Struthio camelus: one gene and its partner. The protein of the gene in region 1 interacts with the protein of each later gene in a biochemical or structural test. Links are inferred from orthologs where the notes say so. Each region holds a gene or a part of one and is shown on either strand. Other genes may lie near its edges.

Region 1 (8,018 bases):
TCATCATCCTTTTTTAAAAAAGCCCAGCTGTTGCAGATCATAAAAGAGGTACTTCTTCGATCGGAAAACTTAAACAAATTCATCTTTCCAAATTAACAGCTCTATTTAAATTGATCTATCTTATGTCTTTATAAGTTTACAGACATTTCATTTGGGATTGCAATTTTTCTAATTGCCACTGTTACTGCCACTACAAGTTCCACTTTAGATAGAGCTATAGTCCTACCATTGAGTCTATGCTAGTAGGACTTGTTAAAGTTAAGCCTCGCGAGGCCTAAGCAAACTTAAGTATGTCTGCACTACAGACAAACACAGCAATGTTGGATGGGGGTATCAACACATGTGATCCATGACCAGCACAGTTATTGTTTGCAGCTGCAGTTATATTTGCAAAACCAGTCGCTTAGCAGTCAGTTTGGCTGATGGTTTACTTTGGTGTAGCTGCATCCACATCAGGAACACTGCTAGCATCTCTAGCACTGACTAGGTCCTTAAACCGGAGTCCCTGCTTTCACGCTGGGAAGGTTTTGATAATGTAGCTCTATACAGGTGTAGCAAAAGTTGGGAGACTTCCCCCAGTCAGGCAAAGGGTTATTCTTAGCATTAAATAACCTGCATACAGATTATGACAGTATTTCTGAGCGGTGCTTTATTCCACCAACTGAATCGAAACAGGCAGTACCAAGCATCCAGCTAACTCTAGTGGAGCACTGTAGAGGCGCCCCGATTTGTCCAGCAGATTTTCAGAGTTGGAATTTTCATACTGTATCTTTCTAAAAAAATACACATTTACTGTTGGTGGACAAGTTCAAAGAGCAATTTATTATTTTCATGAACACAAAAAGCTGAAAGGGAACACTTTAGAATTCAGCCTTCTGTAAAACTGAAACCTACATGTAAGAGAAAAACGATCACAAAAAGCCTGCGATGAGGGACAATAAAATGAGAAATCCATGGAACTCAGGAACATTTGCCACACCAATCTCTGCTATATTACGTTCACAAAAAAGTTCAGGCAAGTTGCATTTTTAAAAGGAATTCTTAACACTGTTTAAATAAATTCTTTCACTAGTACTTTCACTGCCCATAGTTTCTGAAAACAAGCAGCTATGCCAAGATCTTTCTATGATGCCCGCAATCGGAATGTCCAAAGCTGGGACTAATTTTATTCCACTGATACAGCACAAGCACTTTAGTGTACCCATGTAAAATCGCTGACCAGCCATTATCAACCTCATCAGGAAACATGGTCTTTATATTTGATGGAGTTAAAGCTACGCATCAGTTTCAGTTTCCACATTATCTTTTAACATTTGCCCTTGTAAATTTATCTTTATACCTGCATAAGTTTAATAAATTTGTCCCATATAATTAAAACGCATAATTATTTATAATTATGACACAGAATTCTGCTGCAACTTTGATCGGATCAATAAATTAGTAAGCGTAGCAGAAGATGCTATAACGGTTGTTTATTTCTGGAGCAGGAAACATGTTCTGAAAGTAATACTACTAGCAAGTTGATGCCAAAAGTTGCAAATTATCTAAAACATATATCTGAGGACCAGGACGTGTTCTGCCAATGCCCATTTCAACTGGGTAACATTTATTCTATTTTTGACGCAGGTAATGTCATGTATGAAGCCTAAGGGACAGAAATGGCTTAGGATTATCAGAAGATGATTCAGGGGAAAAGTTGAACAAATTAAATATAGTTCTGCTACACATTCTCTTTAATAAAATATGTAACAGAAGACATCAAAAAGCAAACTTCACTGCAGTTTTAATATCAGGTAGTACAGTATTTTAGTTCAGCTTCCTAACTATACTGCCAAGCCTTACAAGTTCCAGGTAAATGAATTTGCTTATAATGCACAGTAACATTTTTTACTCCCATTAAGATTCAGTGATAGTAATGACATAACAATAAATAGCTTCCCACACAACAACGCTCAATGATAACAAGAGGAATCAGTACTTTACTGATAAATCAAAGCGACCCTTAAAATCAGGGCCCGGCTAAAAACACTTTTGTCATTTATCCTGCTCTTCAATAGCTCTATGCCCCTCTGAGGCTGACTAAACACTTGACCATCCTTTCCGATCAGCCAGAGCTAAGCCATCCAACTTCTTTCTCAGCAATAAACACCAGAAGACTCAACAGCCTGGTAGAGCAGACAATTAACTGCTACTCCCTCTGCACACCACAAGTCGACTGAGCGTAAACTTAACCGAGAAAAGCTAAACCTGCGACCTGTCAACCTTCACTCATTTGGGAGAAGCCTCCCCCTCTTCCCCCCACGCTTTGCTTTACTTTGCATTGATCTCAGCTTTTGTAAGGCCCCATTCCTCCAGCCAGGCATGCTCCTTGCCGGCCTCTCACGGGACCTTTTTTTTTTTTTGGGGGGGGGGGGGGGGGTGGGAGGACACACAAAACGACAGGAGGTCTGCGGGCTGCAGCGCCGGCGCCGCCGACGAGCTCTGGAGCCGTTTCCTCACCTCCCACAATTCTTACACGCTCCGGGCCCGGCAGGGTGCGTGTGGCCTGATTACAGGGGGAAGAAGGAGGGGAAAGAAGGGGGAAAAAAAAAAAAACGGAGCCAGGGAGAGCACAGATAAATACATCATCACGAGGGGAGGATTTTTCCCTATTAAACCTTAGTCATAGCTGCTCCCGTTTCTGAAGGCCCAACGATAAAGATAACGATAATAAAAACGGCAAGATAGGCTGGGGACGGGGAGGAAAAACAACAACAAAAAAAAACCCAAAACACCCCAGCACCCGGAGCAGACACACAGGGAGACAGCCCCGGCGGCGCCGCTTACCTTCCGACTCGCTCCTCCGAGGGACACCTTGGGCCTTGTTTTGAAATCCCCTTCAAAGCTGAACATGTTTACAGCTTATCCCATCGGGAGAGGCGGCGCGGCCCCCTCCCGAGCTGACACGGCGACGGGGGCGCCGGCCGACCGGCCGCGAGCGGGCAGCCCCGGGGCCGCGGGCAGCCGCAAGCCCCCGGGCCGGCACCCCCAGGCCCGCGCCGCTGCCGCCCCCGAGGGGCTGCTGCCCACACGGCGGCCCGGCTCCCCCACCACCGCCGCCGCCGCCGCCTCCCCGCGGCCTTCGCTTCCCCGGCCACCCCCTTCCTGACCGGCGGCTACGGCTCAGTGTGGTGGGAGGGAGGAGGGAGCGGAGGAGGGGGCTGGCGAGGCTGCTACACTTGCACTGGGGGAAGCAGCCGGCTGTAGCGAGAAGATGGCCGCCGCCCGCAGCCTCCCCGGCGCGCTCCCGCCGCCACCGCCGCGACGCTCCCGCTCCCGCCGCCGCCGCCGCCTCCGCCGCGCCGCGCCGCCCGCGCGCACGCGCGCGCCGCCCCTCGGCAGCGCCTCCGCCGGCTTCTGTGGAGGCGGCGGCGGCAGCCGGGTCACCCCCGCGGCGGGCGGCGGCCCTCGCTCCTGTCAGCCCCTTCCTCAGCCCGCTGCCGGCCCCCGCCGCGCCGCCCCGCTTCCTCCGAGCCCGGCCCCGGCCCGGGGCTGCCTGCGCGCCGGGGCCGAAGCGGCGGGTGTCCGCGCTCGCCCTCCTGGCGCCCGGCCCAGCTCCTCATCTCTCCCCACCGCCGTCGCTTCCTGCCGGTCGGGTCTTTTTTTCCCCTTAGCGGGGCAGTTTTGTCCCCTTGGCTCCAGCTTTCCCGCCTCTAGGAAGGAGAGGCCTAGCTGCGCGTAGGCAACGTCCTCCTGACCCCAAAGGCCAAACGCCTTTGAAACGCTGGAAACGGCGGGTCGGGGCCTGCGTTTTAACAGCCCGACGCCGGTGTTAGCGCGGGCGGGCGCGCACGTTGCTTTCCCCTTGTGAGCGTGAGCTTTGGGCGGCCGCGCAGGGGAGCTGGGACCGGCAGAGCTGCGAGGCCCATACGCGTGGGCTGGGCAGCGCTGGCCGCGGAGGCCTGGCCCGCTCCTCCCGCGCGGCCGTCTTGCTCGGCCTAAATACGTGATGACAGCGGAAGTTGCTGCTAATCATGATAGCGTTGTTATGCTGTACGGAACAGCGCGTGTGCTCTTAATGAGCAGACATGGCGGGGGGAGAAAGGATCATAACACAAATTATTTTTATAAATAAACACATTGCTGTGCTTTTTGTAGGATAAGCGTATGCTGGGGCATCAGCCTGTTGCAAAGACTTCAATGAGCAGCTGAATGTCAGCATCCTGAAAACACTAGTTGCAGGCACCAGTACGGCTGTGAAACCCCAATTACCAAACCCCTTCGTGCAAGTGGACTCCGTACAGGACTGAGGTATCAAGACAACGAAGAAAGCCAGGTGTATAAAAGCAGCAGAACGAAATGGTGAAACTAAGCTTGAGGCTGCTTTGCTCTACGTTTCTTTAGCCTGTACTCCATTTTTCAGCTCTGATTGCGTTGTTCTAGATACAGAGATAATACTGAGGGACGCAATAACAAAAAGCAGTTAATCGCTCTGCAACTAAGAGGTGCTAAATTAACGTAAATGATCAAATCCAGCTTCCTTCTGCTTTAGAGGAAATTTGACTGGGCCCTAACTTGTGATTTCTCACCTCACCCTATCATAACGGCCAAATAGCAGGGTCCATGCCAGATGATAGTGTATGCACTTCGGACTAGTTCTTACAGAAAAGAAAATGCCATTTAATTATTTCCAGGCTGAGTGTTAGATTATATGTTTGTTGATATTTCTTCAGATTTGGATGATTCAGAAGAGCCTGAATTTAAAAATTTCAGACATTTCGTAAGGGAGGTTGTGCTTGACAAGGGTGAACATCAGCCTTGTATTTCCTGAGATAACGTAGTTTCGGTATTAGCAAGCCTGGCCTCCTGTAAATACTGCTTACTGATGCAGTTGAGGTTTGAGCGTTGTGTAATACCATGTCAAATGCTGGTTCAGAGTTTCAACACATTGCATCGTTGATGCAATATCACACCATTAGGGTTCAGTTTGGCTCCAGGAGAATGGGAGAACCCTCAAGAGTGGAAATGAATTTTTTTCAAAGCGTGACTGCATTCTTTTTGCGTGGCCTTCAGCCTTGATAAACTATGTAGGTCTCATACAGAAAACTAAAGGGCTAATCCAGATGGCCATAGCAGTTAATTCATTGCTTTCCCTTAGCTCAGAAACAAACTGTCAGGTCACAGTTTTGTGTGGAATTTTTATCAGTAGCAAAGCCAACTTAGGGATTCCCTCCTCGTGTAGCAAGGAGAACGAATGTGAAACTGCATTGGGTGGTGGTTAGATGAAATAGGTTTTGAGCAGATACATCCTTAACAAGGGCCAACTTCAGCGTTAGATGGACACAAGATCTCTTGATGATCCAGGCTGTTACCTCCTAAGAGGTAGTTTGATGAGTTTTTCATGGCTGTTAAATGACATGAGCCCAAGTGATGAATGCGTGTCTGAGAAATCTGAATGATTTGTGTGTGCCTCTAGAGGCTACTCTAGGTGTAATTTTATTAAATGAAAATAACTTATATAACAGGATAAACAACTGGATGTTGGTGTCTTGAATACAGTGAGTTTACAGAAGCAGAAGAAACCATGAAATGTATTTTATTTTTGTGTTTCTTTTTAGTGCAAACAATACATTTATATCACAGTGGAGGAAATGTACAAGAATCAGAAGAATCAGTGGTGGTTAGTCAAGAAGTCAGAATGGTGAAGAGTTTAATATTTTCAGGGAGCAGCAAGAGCGGGGCTGCTCCAAGAAGGAAGACAAGTGGGCGCCGAGGGTGACCGCAACGCTGGCATTGCCTTCCCTGACCCAGGTGCAATCGCACGTGGTCCAAACACAGTAGGCAGAGCCAGCCGCTGGCAACGGGGTTTATCGATAGTCCCAGACAAGGCCAAGGGATGAAAAGAGTGCAGTCAGGAACAGCAGGAGACAAGGCTACAATGTAGGTCCAAGGTCCATCCGGGGGGGCGGGGCTGGCGACAGGTATGCCTGAGCTTAAAGGGAGGTCTGGGACCGATCAGCAGAGGAGTGAGTGAGTGGGGGTCGCAGCTGGGGTTGGTCAGGGCATTTAAGGCCTATTAGTGCACTCAGGGCTCTGACAAAAAAATACCCAAGAATTTAGGAATGCTACTGTTTTATGTATGCCTCTTTTAACACCCGCCTGAGTTCACTTGTTTTGCCTCACCAGCTGCAATAGCTAGCTCCATACGGAGTTTGCCATCTTTCTCGTCTCCTTTCCTATTGCACATTCCATGAGATTTTTTACTGTCTCCAAATCACAGTTCTCTACCTTTTACATTGTTCTCTTTTCCCCTTGCAGGCATAAGCATCTGCAAACATTGCTTCCAGGTGCAACAGGACCGCAGAAGTCCAATTGTTCTTCACACAACAGTCTGTTAAAAAGATGGAACTGCTTGACATTTTCTTCACTCTGTGCAACAGATATCAACCTTTTCTGCTTTTTATTTGAAATGACATGTGTAGGGCCATTTCATTTGTGTAGCTGAAAATCTCCAATGACAACTCTTCCATTTCCAAGACAATTCATTTTTTTTATTTTCCGTATTTGTGTTAATAAACAAAAAAGGTTGTGAATATGAATGCCCTTGGGAATTAGAAACATAAAAAATCTTAGAAATACAGGTGTAGGTATGACCTCTAGTCCATCCCCATGCTCTGCAAAAGGGATCAATTTCTGTAAGTACATATGAAATATCTCTGAATATATGTATTTCTAATTATATGCCACTCTAAAGCAGCTTTCACACTTCTGTATCAAATACAGCTCAGGTAAACCACTGCAAACCTGGAGTCCCACAACGTGCCTAGCTGCTCACAACAGACAGTTATACATCTTCTTTTAATATCCAACTTAAATTTCTGTTAGTTCCTGCTAAATGATTATTTGTCTCCTGCCCACAGAGAACACACAGAACAACTGATCGTTTTCCTTTTCAAGGCATCCTTTATGAAGACTATTAGTTATTCTCTCTCAGTCTTTTTTATTTTAGACCAAAAAAAAATATGCTTTCAATTTTTTGTCATCTGTCCATATTTCCAAATTACCAGTCAGTTTTGTTGCCCTCCTTATGACTCCATCCAGGCTGGCTACATTGTTCTTTGAGAGCGGTGACTAAAACAGGACTCCAACTCTGGATTCAGAAATATTTCAAATTACTTTTTTGCCGTTTTCCCTTTGTTTTGTTTTTACCAAAACTACTAGTAAATGTGCAACATATGCAATTCAAGCATAGTTTTGACAGGACAATTAAATAAATTCAACACCTGGACATTTAAGTATTACTTTATATCTTACAACTGTGCTGGAGCTAGAAAGTCAAAGGACTGTACTGAAAGTGAAATGTTTTTGCTTACTTTCACTATCAACTTGAAGCAAAGTGTAAATTAATAACGACAAGGACATTCATTACCTTTGTTTCTATAGAGGCGTATAACAACACAGATAAGGACATGGCTTACTACATACAGTCCAGCCAGCTAGTCCTTTAGTTAAAGTTACCCAAAATTATTTGATTAGAAGATCACTGTCACAAGGGCAGGGGAATACTTACTTGTGTACAGTGACAGATTTAGCCGTTTGGATTGAAATTTTCTACTTCAAGAATCTACCTCGATCTCGATTCTGAAAAGTATCATTTGAAATAATGGATACATTTTTGAGAATACGAAAAAATCTTAATTTGACCATCGTACAAATAAATAACTTGTGTCTTTGTGTGGGGCTTGGTCATGCTTCCAGATTAATTTTTGCTAGTTTAGCTCCCTGGGCCGCCTAACTATGGGACTCGGTAAGAGATGGTGATTGATGGTGCAGGCTGATTATGTCTGAAGTACGTGGCCCTTTTCTAAACTTGCTTCACTGAGCATACTGCAGCGATGAAGATCGGAATGCACCATGTCCTAATGTCCCTGCACTAGCTGAAGGTAGCTCCTGCTCAGTGAGTACTGAACAAATGGGCATTTTCATAGCGCCCGTATTCTGTATGTCCCGGGAAGGTGGACGTTCTGTGGAAAGAAATC
Region 2 (7,789 bases), on another chromosome or scaffold:
AGAGGGTTAAGAGCAGAGATTACAGAGGCCGGGCACCTCAGTTCTCTTTGGCAGTGAGATCTCTGCAGCTGGCAGATTGCTGCCAACAGATGATGAGGTAACACACACAGACATGACAGGGACAGCCTAGTCAAAGCCCAGTGAGTGGGGATTCCTCCTCCGAGCGCCTGTCCCTCCCTGAGTCCTGCTCCGACCCAGCCTTACCTGACGTATTCATGCCCCCAAGACGCCAGCTCCTCCTGGGAGCCCACCAGCCGGTACTTCAGACACTCGCGCTCCCCACTCATGGTCATGGCCAGAACAGAAATGATGTCTGCGGCAAAACGCTGGAGGAAGAGTGCCAGATGTTCAGACACACCCTGGGCACGAGGGAGCGAGGGCAGCCCACACCAGCCAGAAACACCCTCCCTGTGCCCACAAGCAATCACACGTGGCGCAGGCATGGCGCTGGCAAGTTATAATTCACCAGCGCGGGTCACAGAGGGTGATCTTAGATCTCACACTCTAGCAGGGCTCTATGGTCATGTGCCCCAGCACTGTCCTACTGCCCTCCAGCTACACAGGACGGTTGGCTTTACCTTGTTCTCTCCAGGAGCCATGTTCTCATAGATCTCCTTCAGCTTGCCGTAGTGTGGCCGTAGGAATTTGAGGGGTTTGGGAACAGAGGTCATCGAGGTCGTGGAAGAACGGATTTGTCTCCGCAGCTCCTCCAGGGCAGGGCGATAGAGGGACGTATCCTTCTCCTGCAGAGCAAAACTGCCTGTCAGGAGGCAGGGGCTGGTTCCTGTGTCACCTCTCCACCTACCCTCCCCAAACATAGCATCCAGATCCAAGCATCCCCCTGCCCCAGCAGCCATCCAGCTGCCCACCCTCCAAGGCAGCCTGGCCTCCAGCAACACCAACATCTTCCATGATCAGGAAGAGCCAAGTCACACATTTGGGAAGGAAACTGGCATCACACAGCTCTGGGCCACGGTACCCCCTGTCTAAGGGTGGCAACAGCCCAGTCTCACACAGAAAACCTCCACTGCTCCCCAGTTCCAAGCAGGCATCTGGGTGAGCACACAAGCACTGTGCACGCATGCATCAAGCAGGCAAACTCCTGCCTTGCCAAGCCCACAGCATCTCCTTGAGCCAAAGTAGGTTCCCAGGGCTGAGGAGGAAGCACAGCAGGGGGAGGAAAGTCATCAGCACAAGGAGGCACAGCTCCCTTAGACACAGGTCAGACAGGCAGTAAGGCCGGGGGACGGACATCGCTGTGACAGGCAAGGGGGGGCCCCATTCAAGGAGAAGTCCCCCATCTCCACGGCATGAGAAACAAGTGCCTGTAACTGACGGATGGCCAGAAGCAAGTCTCAGCTGGGGTTCCCGACAAAGCAGCTCCTCACTGAGGGGCAAAGCGTGAACCTACCCCCAAGCGCTCCACCAACATCTCCAGCTCATCCTGCAGCTGCTTGTCTTCCTCAGACTGCAACAAGACACAGAAGAAAGCCAAGTTAAGGGGCTCAGCGCAGACACCCCCAGCTCCGGAGCACACCTCCCCCCCAGGGTACCATTACATCAACCCCTATACATGGGGAGGTCTCAGCACAGCCCTAAGGAACAGTTTGGTCCACGACTTTCCCCCCACCTCCAGCTTTTCCAGGAATTAAAGGTTTGGACTACCCCATGACTCCCGCCCCAGGAAGGCTCACTGGTACCCTTGCTGGGGGATAGGTGACAGAAGGGACTGCCTCCCTCCTCCTCACAGGGGACAGGTTTTGCTGTCCCCAAGATTTTTGACTTTAATCCCAGAAAGTCTCTCCTCAGCTTCATTCTCCACAGGGGTGGTATCAGTCTGCCACAAGCCCTGCTCCCCTTCTGGGATCTCTGTTTAGACCTCTGGGTGCCCTCACCCCTCACCCACAGGCCCCACGTGCCCCCAGGGTAGCTGCTTTCCTCCATGCATCGCAGGAATGGGGTAGGTGTCACCCTGGGGTGCTGGGCCATCTCCATAATGCACAGCCTCCAACAACCTCCACAGGGCACCATCCTGCCCCAGAGCAGTGTGGGGTCAGTGCCCCCATCACCCATCAGGACACCCCACGGAGAGGGGCATGGCAGGGAACTGCCCCGCAGCCGGCTCCTGCACAGCCTGCCACATCAGGGCACCGAGCAGGGTGCCCCGAGTGATGCCAGCACCCCTGCCCCGCTCCCATGGGGACCCCCGACCCCAGGAACATCCCCACCCCGTACCAGAAGGCACCTGATGTCACATGTGCACTCTGATTACAGCATGGGTCCCCAACTCGCAGTGCCACCCCCAGTGCCATCCCCACACCACGTCCAGAAGGGACCCTGCTTCAGGCCCTGATGTCACACGTGCACTCTGATTACATCACAGGCCCCAGCCCACAGCACCGCACACCCTCAATGACATGACACCCTGCGGGGTCCCCCACTGCCATCCCCACACCACGTCCAGAAGGGACCCTGCTTCAGGCCCTGATGTCACACGTGCACTCTGATTACATCCCAGGCCCCCTAACCCGCGGTGTCACACGCCCCCCGTGACGTCAGGCCCCGCGGCCCCCAGCAGTCCCCCCACAGGCGCACCCCCCAGGGCAGGGAACCCTCGGCGTCATCACCTGGGCACCCCCTGACGTCACGGCCCCTTCCAGAAGGGGCGCCCCTCACCCCACTCACGTCACACGCCCCCTCCGCAGGGCGCCCCCGCACCCCAAGCACGTCACGGGTGCCGCGGCGGGGGGGCCCGCCACCCCGCTGACGTCACGCCGCGTCCCAGTGACGTCGGGCCGCCGCGGGAGGGGGCGGCAGCGGGGCGGCCCGGCCCGGCCCGGCCCGGCCGGGGCCGTGACTCAGCTCCGGGCCGCGGCGCGGCGCGGCGGCGCTCACCAGCTCCTGCTCCTTGTCGGGCCCCGCGGGGGGGTCCCGGCGGTCCCTGCCCCAGGGCGGCGTGGGCTTCTCGTCGCCGCCCGCCCCGGGGCCGCCCTGCACCCGGCTCTGCCCGCCGCCGCCGCCCGCCTCCATGGCTGCTCCGCCGCGCACCGGCCGCGCTCTGCGCCTGCGCCACCGCCAGCGCCAATCGGCGCCCGCCGCTGCGCTGACGCCACCGCCGCGCGCCGATGGGGGCGGGGCCTGGGGGGCGGGGCGACCCCCACGTGGGGCGGCCGGGGCGCAGCGCCGAGCGCCGCCGGGGCCGGGCCGGGCGGGAGCGCCGGCACCCCGGGCTGGGGGACCCGGCGGGGCTGGCGCCCCGGGGCAGGGGAGCCGGGAGCGGCGGCACCGCGGGGTGGCGACAGGGTCAGCGGACCGGCAACGCTGCCACCCCCGGGCCGGGGGACCCGGGAGCGGTGGCACCCTGGGGACAGGGCCAAGGGACCCGGGAGCGCCAGTGTCCCAGGGCCAGGGGACCCGGGAGCAGTGGCACCCTGGGGACAGGGCCAGGGGACCCGGGAGCGGTGGCACCCTGGGAACAGGGACAGGGGACCCGGGAGCGCCAGTGTCCCAGGACCAGGGGACCCGGGAGCGGTGGCACCCTAAGGTGGGTAACCCAGGCATGGTGGCACCCTGGGGGGCTGGGGGACCCAGAGGTGCTGGCCCCCAGGCAGGGGCACGGCCGGCAGCAGCACCTCCCTGCCCGCTGCCAGGATGCCGAGGCGCCACCGGAGCAGGGCGAGTGCTGACGCGTCCCCAGGGCCCGGTGGGCTCCCCGTGCCCCAGCCCCCGGACCTGACCCGCCACAGACACGCGGGCACTCGTGCCCTCGCACGCACACCCCTGGGCGCACACGCGGCCCTGCACGCGCGTGCCGCCCCGTGGCACCGGGCCCCGCGGTTCCGGCAGATAGCACTGCCATGTCCCGCACCACCATGCACCGCCCACCCTGCGCAGCGGGAGCACCCCACGGGGCACCCTCGGGTACCACCGTCCCCTGCGCCGCGCACACCCGGACCCCAGGCCTCCCTCCATGCCCTGGCTGCCTTTGCAGCACCAGGGGATGCTGCTCTTCGCGCTGGTCTTGCCCCTGGTGCGAGGTGCCACCGCCGTGGACACCCTGGGGCTCACCCTCGCGCACCGCCAGGGCCAGGCGGGTGACTGTGCACCCACATGTACAGGCGATGCACACCCGTGCCTGCCCCCTGCCCCCCGAGCCCGGCTGCACACCCGTGGGGGGTGAGGGGGGCTGCCAGTGGTGTGAGCCCTCCGTGCCAGTGTCCAACCGTCGGTGCTGCGACACGTGTCGAGTGCCACGGTCCCGGGCTGGTGTGTGTGTGTGTGTGTGTGTGCGTGTTAATGCATATGCGTGTGCGTGTGCAACACCTGCGAGCAGGCGGAAGGCTGTACGTGCACAACACTATGCCAGGGGCAGTGCCAGCATGTGCCCCGTGGGGCCAGGAGCCGCCCCAGCTGCAGGTCCCCTGGAAGGGGTGGCTGAAGCCGCAGCGTAGGTGTCCCCCAAGGTCCCTGTGCCTCAACACGCTCAGCGCCCCGCTCCCTGCACCCTGCGCACAAACCGGGCGCTCTCCGGTGACACCCAGCCCCAGGCAGGTGGCCGCACAGGGGTTGCCTCTCTGAGTGTTGCCGAGTGTGGCTGCGTGTGTGAGCTGGGGTGTGAGACTGTCCGTGCAGCTGTGCGCGTGCAAGGGTGGCTGTGAGGATACCCTGGCTGCCCGGGGCTGGGTGCGCTCCTGTGCCGCGCGACTGTGTCAGCGCCTGCTGGCGTGGGCCTCTGGGTGTTTGTGCGCCTTTGCCTGTGTGTTGGTGTCCTGGGGGCGGAGGGTGGTGCGTGTCTGTGTGTGTGTGTGCGCGCGTGTTGGCGTACCGGTGTGCGAGGCTCCGTGCCGCCGCCTGTGCATGTGTCGGAGCACCGGTGCGGGGCCGCGCTGCGGTGGCTGTGTGCGGTTTGCAGCCGGGTGCCGGTGCGTGTGCCCGGGTGCTGCAGCCCCGCGCCCCTTCCCGCGCCCTGCTGCTCGCGGCGCGGCTGCAGGTGGCGGGGCGGCGGCGGGGGCCGGGGCCGCTCCCGGGGCCGGTGCGGGCGGCGGCCCCGCCCGTGCGCGCGGCGGGCGCGGCCCCTCGCGGTCACCTTGGCGGCGGCGGCGGCGGGGCCGGGCGGAGCGGAGCGGAGCGGCCGGGCTGCGCACGCCGGTGTCCCCGCTCCCCCCGCCGCCGGGCCCCCGGCCCCGGCCCCAGCCGGCGCCCACCCCCGGTGCGGCCGCGCCGGCCCGCCGGTGCGCAGCCCTCCGCGGCTCCCCGGGCCCCGTCCCTCCTCGCCGGGGCGGCCGCCGCCGGCCCCGCCAGCGCCGGTGCCCCGGGGGCGGCGCGGGCCATGGCAGCTGCAGCGGCGGAGGCAGGCGGCGCTGCGGCGGCGGCGGCGGCGGCGGCGGGGGCCCGGCGCGGCCCGGGCGGGGAGCGGAGCTAGGCGGGAGGGGCGGCCCGGGATGGCCAGGATGAACGTGGCCCTTCAGGAGCTCGGACACGCCGTGAGTCCCGGCGGCGGCGGCGGCGGCGGGGGCCGGGGGTGGGGAACGGGACAGAGGGACAGAGAGGGGGGACAGGGGACAGGGGGATGAGGGACCGCAGGGGACAGGAGATGGGGGCCGGGGGGCAGGGAGAGCCGGCGGAGAAGAGTCCCCGGGGTGCTGGGGGGCTGCCCCGAGGGAGTTGGGGGGCCCCCGGAGCTTGGGGGGCTCTGGGGGCCCTGGGGGGACTCAGGGAGCTGGGGGACGAGAGACTAGTGGATGCAGAGGGGCTGGATGGGTCTGGGGGCTGGAGGAAATTGGGGGGCTAGAGGGGTCAGGTGGGCATAGCAGACCCCCCACTGGAGGGACCCATCTCCCCTGGTGAGGAGGAGAAGGGGGAGAAGGGATCCCTGTGCCCTGTGCCTGTGCAGGGCAGGGGAGCTGGGACACTTTGGGGAGGGGGGCACGAGGGACCCTACAGCCCCTGCTCCGGAGGAGCTTGGAGCCAGCCTGGGGGCAGACCACTCCACTTGTAGGGTCCTGAGCCAGCACCCCGCGAGGGAGCAGGTGTGTGTACCCAGCTCCAAGGCCTCAGCCCCATGAGGGGCCGGGGCCGGAGTGGGTCGGCAGCAGGAGCCTCAGCGCTGCGACACCCCATGTGTCCTAGACCTGCCTTGGGGGTGCCCGGAGCTGCAGGGGAGGGAGTACAGCCAGCCAGTGCTGGGGGGATGGGGCCCCCCCAGGTGGGGGAGCGCAGGATGGGGGAGCCCACGGTGGGGGAACCCGGCTCGCCGAGCTCCCACGAGATGCCAAGCCAGCCCTCGCAGACGCCAGCGGTTCCCGGGAACCCGCCCCGGCGAGGGGTTTCCTGCCAACCGTCGATCCCCGCTGCCTCGCGTGGGTTCCTGCCTGGGCAGCCCTTTGCGGAGCCCCCCGCCCCAGCAGGGTAGCAGCAGGCAGGAGCTGGGCACGGGCACTTGCCCCACTTCATCCCCTGCCTGGCATCCGCCCCCCACTCCCCCCGGCTCCTTCACAGTCCCCACTGGGGGGACCAGGCCCGCAGACAGCCCCATGGCATCGGCCTGAGTCTGTGGCTTTGGGCAAGAAGGGTGAGCCACAACCCGCCCAGGCTTTAACTCTGAAGCCTAAGGATGGCTGTGACCAGCCGCATTGTTGATTGTCTTCCGCCGAAGCATCCAGCCTTTTCCTCTGGCTCATCCCCCCCTCAAGTTTCTGGCTCGTCTCCACCGCTTCTTTCTTAGCTGATTCTTGGCAGCCCTTGCGTCTGGCTCGGTACAAACAGCCCTTGCAAGGCCGCCCCGGAAAGCCTGGCGTGTGGGGGGATCCTAGCCCAGCCTGCCGAAAATTCGCTTCTGTCCCCGCGTTCAGCCCCCGTGGAGGCCCTGCCTGCCCTTGGGCAAGCGCGCAGGTTGGCCCACGGCCGGGGGCTCCCGCCAGGGCTGGAGGCGCTTCCAGATGTTTCGGGGCCCGTGCACATCTGCGTGGAAAGTTCCAGGCAGGGGGGGAGGGACGAGGTGGCGGCGCTAGGCAACGGCGCGACTGGTTGCCTGGCAACAGGGACCACGTCTCCGTGGCGATGTGGCACCTGTCCGTGCGCCTGATGCCTCGGCCGCCATGGCGACGTGGAGGGATGCTCCGGCTGCCCGCCTTGGGCCCCCTGGCCCCCCTGGGGAGGACGAGGAGGGGTGCCGAGGGCGAGGAAGGCTAGGGGCTGGGGCGAGAGCCCGGGGCACCAAGGGACTTCAGGCCCACCCCAGTGTCCCACACACCCGGCCGGGCGGGCACCTGCCATCCCTGTGAGCACCGGTGGGGGCCGGGGAGAGCTGCAGCACTGGGCACACCCCCCCCCATCCCCGTCCCAGCCCGCTCTTTCCCCCGGCAGATGCCTGACTACAAGCGTGCCACGCTGCAGGATGACGAGGGCCCCGAGCCAGCAGGGGACGGCAGCGCCTCTCCCGACAGCATGGAGGTGAGCTCTGCCCCGAAACGCTGCCCGCCTGCCTGCACCGGGACCCCTCCAAGCCCCCCTCCCCTCCCTCAGCCCTGCCGTCTTCCTGAGACTGCCTGCACTGGGGTGGGCACGAGAGCAGAGGCCGGGAGCCAAGGCAGCCCTGGCACTTCCCAGGGCTGCGCTGGGAGGCAGCCAAAATGCGGCAGAGAGTCTGTCCAGGGCAGAGTCCGTCCTTGTGGCTGGGGGGCTGCCAGCACCCACTGCGGGGGCAGGGGGCTCAGGCCCCTTCGGGGGGATGCCCCATCTCTCAGGTGGCCCCAGCAGGGATACACAGGCACCCAGCTCTCTCCCTCCT

What was found. The genes of interacting proteins can lie anywhere in the genome.
Region 2: the proteins of UBE3C (region 1) and PSMD2 form a complex in vitro, tested with the Homo sapiens proteins (2 studies listed by BioGRID). The link is inferred for Struthio camelus from reciprocal best matches to the Homo sapiens genes UBE3C and PSMD2.

Annotation. Positions count from the first base shown.
Region 1 is NC_090943.1:10,788,403-10,796,420, reverse strand, and holds the start of UBE3C (ubiquitin-protein ligase E3C), read right to left. Parts: upstream 3,006-8,018; 5' UTR 2,893-3,005; coding exon 2,827-2,892; intron 1-2,826. UniProt on the Homo sapiens protein: E3 ubiquitin-protein ligase that specifically catalyzes 'Lys-29'- and 'Lys-48'-linked polyubiquitin chains.
Region 2 is NC_090950.1:22,661,365-22,669,153, reverse strand, and holds the start of PSMD2 (26S proteasome non-ATPase regulatory subunit 2), read right to left. Parts: upstream 3,055-7,789; 5' UTR 3,031-3,054; coding exon 2,896-3,030; intron 1,469-2,895; coding exon 1,412-1,468; intron 744-1,411; coding exon 579-743; intron 327-578; coding exon 205-326; intron 1-204. Other genes in the region: ECE2 (endothelin-converting enzyme 2), read left to right, coding at 5,442-5,483, 7,366-7,452. UniProt on the Homo sapiens protein: Component of the 26S proteasome, a multiprotein complex involved in the ATP-dependent degradation of ubiquitinated proteins.